Linked DNA regions of Daphnia pulex. The protein of the gene in region 2 interacts with the protein of the main gene of each other region in a pairwise test. Links are inferred from orthologs where the notes say so. Each region holds a gene or a part of one and is shown on either strand. Other genes may lie near its edges.

Region 1 (4,102 bases), on a different chromosome or scaffold from region 2:
CTTGATGGTTTTGTTCTGCAGACGCAATCCATTGAGAGTATTTATGGCTTTTTCGGCATCTTCAGCTCGGTGGTAATTGACGAATCCGTAACCCAAACTCTGCCCTGCTTTCAGATCGAAAGACACAAACGGAAACAGAAAAAAAAAGAGAGAAATCGGGTTGATTTTTACTGAATTCGGATAATTTAGGGGTTAAAATAAAATTCCAGACAGTCGATAAATTATCTACCATCATTGATCTCAAAATCAAGACCTGTGATTTTGTCGCGGATGAGTTTGCAACTCTCGACTTCGCCAATGGAGGCGAACAAGGAACGAATCTCTTCTTGGGTCATCGTCTGTGGCAAGTAATTAACAATCAAGTTAGTCTTGCTCTCGTCATCTTTGGGTACAATGTGCTGCGATCCCTGTATGAGAAGAAAAGAAACAAGACACCAACGTCAATGTCGAACACGACAAGTCCAGGAAATGGATTTAAAAAAGTAGAGTAGAAAAATGAGACAGACGAATCCTCTCACGTGGCTAACATTATTGACGGATGCAACGTGGTTGAGTCCATTGGCTGTCAGGACGCCGTGTTGAGGTAGACTTTCTAAACCGTTCATTCTGTCGCTGATGCTTTCGGCTGCTGCTGCGTAATCTATAAAAGACAACAAAATACAAACAAATAAATGTTTTGTTCAGACAAAAGTTAATGATACGCCCACAGAAAAGTCGTAGAGCAATCGCTCCGAGGTGGAACGGGACTCATTAGCGTGACTAAAGTGTTTTAAAGACACGTGTCCTCTCATTAAAAATACTCTTTTTTAAAACGGAAAAACAAGAAAGCCAAAACTCGCATACCCCTAGTACGACAAAAGCACACAAACAGAAAACGGACTAGCCAGCCGAATTTTTGGGCGTCAGAGGAAAAAAGGAGCTAGAGACCTCGGCGGAGGAGCTATCGATCGGCGTCTGTACACCACAAGAGTAGCTGGTTGGTCGCAGGATTATGACGCCATCTGACGTGGAATGGGGATTCGCGTCCGGACACAATCACAACACACACACACAGTGAACACACACACACACAAAAGGAGATGGGGGAATTTAAAAAGCCTGGATGCAGCTGCTCCAACCAACAACCCCCTGGTAACCATCTGCACATGAAATGTGCAGACACCCTACTCTTGAATTGAATAGCGGGCAACATGGGGTCGATGAGATCTTTCTCTCTCTTGTGTCGCAGGCAACAACAGAACAAATAATAACGGGGTTGTTGTTTGAGAAACGGTTTTTTTTTTATGATAACATTTTTTGGACGACACGTTAGATCAAGACGCGCGACAATGTTCCCTCGTCATGAATAATACCCGGGGAAAAAAAGTAAGTCGTCGGAGAGAGTTTCGTATTACGTCCGGCTCTTTCATGTCTCCCAGGATCGAATCGTCCAATGCGGCAGAGAGAGAAAACGAGTTTTTCTTTCATCGATTCCCTCGACTCTCTTTTCTCCTTTCGAAAAAATCTTGTTCGCTAGGCTAGCCAACTACTACCCCCTCTCTCTCTTTTTCTATACTACTGACAGAGAAGAAGAAGAACTATTGATCCACTCACTGAAAAAAAGGTGGGGGAGTCACGGTTGCCATGGAGGCCATGCAAACACATAGACACACACGGCGCAGATGGATCGAAGTGGCGCTTGCGCCCACCATCTGCCCTACTCGGAACTTTTCATCCGGTTTCCGTTTTAATTTTTTCAAAAACCGACAAAGGGTGATGAGTTAACGTTCTAGAAAATGTCATTACCTTAAAAAAGAAAACGCATTTAAACTTTTTCTCAGCACCTCGTGAAAAGAAATGTTTGAAAAAAAAAAAGAAGCTGTAGAGTTACTGTTACTAAAAGTCTACGACATTCCCGAAGGAGAAGGAGGGGGGTCTCTCCGGACGCCGCTGGATTATTGATCGTCGCTTTGAACGCACGCGCGGGGGCCACACAAAAAACTAAATCGATATAGACCCTCCCATAGTTGCAGCTGCTTCTTCCTGACAAGACCTTGCCCTTTTTTCTGAAAAAATAAAACACGAAACTTTCGTGTGTGTGTTGACTGATGAGTGAAATGAAAATAACTCTATACACACTCACTGAAAAAAAAGGTGGGGGGAAAGGGGGGGGGGGGAATGATTAGCTACACACACGACGGCTAGGGCAAGAGGCTGGGTATGAACACAGTGACAGTTGGTTTCGGCAGCTGTTTGCTTACGTAGCCCATCCCGTTCCATACCTTTTTTTCTTTTTCTTTTTCTTTTTTTGACCCGATCTATCTCTTACTTATTTCTTTCTCCGAAAAACCGCCATCTTGAAATGGCAAAAGGGGGGTACCCTATGCAATCGAAGATTATTATATTACCTTTTATGATGTGTTGGAAAAATGGCCGGTGGTTACCCGCGTGGTCTCACACACTCTCACACTCTGTCGTCGATTTAAGAAAAAGAACGATTTTGGAGGGAAAACGTGTAGGTAGAAAAATGAACGCGAATCAAAAAACGATATTTCGAAAAAAGGAAATCAAGAGAAAAAACAGCCCGTGTGTTTTAATATCGAGTCAAAATTACGAATACGAATTTAGAATTTAATTGTTTTTTGTTTTTGTCAAAACTGAAAAAAGGTAAGACAAAAAAAGAGGATAGGAAACTGATAGCTGATGGATGGAAGAAAAAGAAAAAATTAACACACGAGAAAAAACTTCAAAAAGGATGGGAACGAAGGAACACAAGACTTGCTCGCTGTGTGTCTGAACGTCTACTACACTAAACAGTCGGTTCGAATGGAAAATTGCAGTGCGCATGGTAGCGCCACCACCGTTCTCCCCCCCACCTCCTTTGATCGCACACATTTTCGTTATTCTCCCCCCTCTCGTTGAAATGGAAATGCTTCAAGTTCTATATATCCCTCTTGTATAAATAAAAAAAAAATTTTTAGCCATGTTTATTTATATATATTTCCGATCTATATATTTGGCTGGACAAGTAATAGAAATGTGTTGGTGTAACTCATTAACTCTGGAATGCCAAAGATTTTAGACGATTTCGTTTTTCTTTTCCGTCTTCCTCAGCAGAGGATGACGTCATTAAGGATTTACTGTGTATTGATTTCTTTAGTGTGTTGAGGAACGTCCGTATACTAGCCTTTGGGAACGAATCTTTTCCTGACTCTGCCAGACAGGATGACTGCTGTGTCTTCTGCCAACTGCACAGAGAGAGAGAAGAGCCGACATTTTGATTTGTTGGATTGAACTCATTTATAACCATCTAGCTGCGTTTCTTTTGTTCCAACTGCGTGTATACCACACAGGCAGCTAGATAAAAATGTATATTTGTATGTGGGTTGATGTATTTGAATAGAAGGAATCTTTTTCTAATTTCCACGGTTCTCATCGATCAAACAAAGGGACGCAGAATAAAGCACGAATTACGTATTACGACTTGGCTTTCATCGTTCCCCCCTTTCTCATTCCCTCTCGATCAGATAATATCAAAATAATTAGGTGTATATTCTTCTTCATTTTGAAAATCCATTGTTTCGATTCCTAGTTGAATTTAAAATGTCAGACTGCAATGAGTCACGATTATCATACATGGGGCGATATAGGATCTTCGATTAAACATTTTGATTAGCTTTTTTTTTCAAAATTACAAATCATATATATTTTAAGCATGTAACATACTGTGAAACATTTATTCGTCGAATTTTCGAAATGAAAATTCACCCATTTTGTTGGTGCGCTTTAGACGAATCTGAATTTCAGCGACTTGGCATTTTCCGTAGCAGAAGACCGATAAAGACCTGCCAAACTGGGTGGCGGTGTCACTGTCATCTCGGCCCATTTCCCGTCTAAATAAATATCAAGAAATCTCTTATTATTAATATTAAACAATAAGTGGTTTCTTTTTTTTTAACTCATCATGTCGACGTCAGCAATCTTCATTCTTGACGTAAAGGGAAAGGTAAAGATAGTTTAAATTTCTGATTTTATATGAATATTTATGAGTCATGAGTATATACGTGTTGGTGTCAAACAGGTGCTGATCTCGCGCAACTACCGAGGAGATGTCGAAATGGGG
Region 2 (2,881 bases):
TAATTGGGTGGCAAGTTTTATTGGTGTTACCAGGTGCAAGAAAGTCACGAAAAGGTAAGGGAGTTTCAGGTAAGGGATATTGAAAGAACGAATAGAAAAAGAAAAAAAAAATCGTTAGTATCAAATGGTCCCATCGATATTGATTAAGTGGCATGGATTAGATCAAGAAGAGTTAGTAATATGAAATCCTTATGCAATACGTAAAATCTTCGTCAACCGCTTCTTTTGGCCTCAGGATAAAGTAGACTAATTTAAGTTTGCACAGCCAAGAAATTGAAGCCCTGCCCTAAGACCAACAAGTCCCAATTGATGGAACACTACCACTGAAAAGGCGAGTCGCTAGTTAAGGTTTCCGCTTCTGAGTTAAAACGCAAACGCAGTAATCGAAATAACACCAAATACGTCATTTCACATACAAAACCAAAGGAAGCAATGGTAGAAGGGATGCGACTACATCGCATAGGAAACCGTAATAAACTAAGTAAAAGTCACGCAAATGATTTTTAGAAAGGCATACCACTGTATTTGGCTGAAACAATTATATATATATATTCATTATATATATAATAGTAAATATTGGCACTAAGTACTTCGGATGTTTTCTCTGCAAATCAAATGACACGAAAGACAAACAATGGTCTTCGCCATAAAAAAAAAGAAAAAGAAAAACACTCGAAACGGTCCAACAAGAGTTCGAATGCGATACAGCTAAACTGAAAGTAGTAAAAACGTTTTAAAGAAAATAGAATGACTTAAATGCAATTTGAAACTGTACATGAAACACGAGAAACATAACACGACACTCGGATAACAAACAGATCTTAAATTTTAGCTGTCGAAATTATTTGATTCTTGGTTGCCACCTGCTTCAATCTTCAGCTAATAAACGTTCAATTAACGCCGGTTAATGAATTAGTTTTCGAGGAAAATTACAAGGTTGACAAGTACATTCAAAGTTCAGACCATTTGTATGTTGTTTCATTCAGTTCGGTAGTAAGATATCAGTGATACTATAATTTTAAAAAATCCAAAAATAATTGATTCGTTTAACGAGAAAGCGAGCTTGCCGGCCTGAATTTAACATATGCCATGTTGCACATTTTTATGAAGCAGATTTCCACTGTCCTTTTTGTAATTCGCCCTTTAGCGAGCCTTTAACACATTGAGGAAAAAGCACGAACTTTGTTCAATGATTGCACTCTCGCCCTAACAACTTGCAAGATTGAAGATGGATTTGTTTACGGGCGGTAGTGAAATGAGAAAATGGCCACGAGCGAATGAACGTGTAGGGCACCGGATTTGGTGTGTGTGTGTGAAGTTCTTAATAACGGGATAAACTGCATCTGTCATCATCGTTATATTGCAAACAGCAATAAAACATTTGAAGTAACGAAACACGCAACCTAACTTCACAGAGACGAGCCAAATCATTTTTACACAGAACGTTCGCCTTGAATGCACGAAACAGCATTGATAGCTTTAAAATTAAGGCAAATTTACCGACAAATTGATCAAAGCGACATTTCAACAGTAATTCGCACCTAGCTCCGACGCTTGGCTTACACGAACTCTCACGTTTAAAACACAACACAATTGGTTTTGTGCGTAAATGTCTATATATATATATAAGATGTTAGTATTAGTAAGTTAAGGTTTGGTTGGAAGAGGCAACGCACCTGGCCTGAATATCTGGGACAACTGCTGGATGGTTGGGTTGGATTTTTGTTTGTTTTTGATTGGTTTGTTTTTGGGTGGTAGTTGTTGGTTGGCTTGTTAGTTGAGGTCGTTCCTTTGGTAAGGATGCTCTCGCCCTTGCGAGCCCAGATGGCGTCTCAGCTTCCCACTAGCGCCTCCTACAATCAGCCAGACAGAGGGAGCGGAGCGGCCGGTGTTTCATTAGTATGTTTATGTTTAAATACACTGAAGAAGTAAAGACAGATAATGTGATTCATAAAAACAAAAGACAAAACATTTGGTTCTTAAAACATTCAATTCGTCATTTATCCTATTATGTTAAGTAAGCTGATTTAAAGCGTCGTGCCTGCGAGGATTGAGTACCGGACCATCAGTCAATTGCTAAAACAATTGACCGAGAAAGGTGTTTGAACCAAACTGACCAATTTTTTTGTCAGTTGATTTAAAAACACGAGATTTCAATCAACTCCAAAAAAATTGTTGCACTTAATCAACCAGCAGGCACGACACCTTGATGGCATCTCAAGACCAGATTAGTGTGGGCGATTGTTTTCAATTAACACTTTACTCCTGAAACGTATCCAACTTCAATTGTATAAAACGCTCACTGAAGAAAAGCGAGGACTTTTAAGAAAATTGCTAGACGTACATCCTTTTGCGATTCCCTTAAAAAAAAATCGCAGTAATGGATGGGAATGTTCTTTTGCAAGTCCATTACTACAAATTGAACTTGATGAAAATTTGTTCTTACGACTATTTAGATATCCACGCAGCAAGAGAAAGCAAAGTACGAACTTACACTTTAATAACGCAGCTAAAGAAACCAGAAAATTATTTTTTTTATGTGCCACTATGATTTGACGTGGTTTTGCCCCCCCCCCCCAAAAAAAAATATATATATATATATATCTATATAAAATAGAATAAAATAAATCGTACTGCTTGCATTAAAGCACAAGGCACGAAATATGCCAAAGTTCAACTATAACTAAAACGTAATCAAGTCCCTAAGCTTAAAAAATCAAGTCATAATCTAAAGACTAAAAATAGCTCTGAACAAATCAAATAGCATACATGGAAATAATAATCTAACAGTTTTCGAAATCAATAATGCTTATAAAATTTAGGGAAAGTGAAAGAAGCTATCGGGCAAACAACCCACCAGCGGTGCCGTCGTTGGATGACG

Evidence for each region.
Region 1: the proteins of protein quaking-like (region 2) and ELAV-like protein 3 interact in a two-hybrid assay, tested with the Caenorhabditis elegans proteins (2 studies listed by BioGRID). The link is inferred for Daphnia pulex from reciprocal best matches to the Caenorhabditis elegans genes asd-2 and exc-7.

The regions. Positions count from the first base shown.
Region 1 is NC_060020.1:3,291,553-3,295,654, forward strand, and holds the start of ELAV-like protein 3, read right to left. Parts: upstream 2,801-4,102; 5' UTR 2,388-2,800; intron 641-2,387; 5' UTR 606-640; coding exon 519-605; intron 408-518; coding exon 230-407; intron 108-229; coding exon 1-107. Other genes in the region: AP-1 complex subunit mu-1-like, read left to right, coding at 3,944-3,985, 4,061-4,102.
Region 2 is NC_060021.1:4,081,681-4,084,561, forward strand, and holds the end of protein quaking-like, read right to left. Parts: coding exon 2,858-2,881; intron 1,854-2,857; coding exon 1,774-1,853; 3' UTR 501-1,773; downstream 1-500. UniProt on the Caenorhabditis elegans protein: RNA-binding protein that binds to the 5'-NACUAAY-N(1,20)-UAAY-3' consensus sequence in pre-mRNA introns to promote alternative splicing.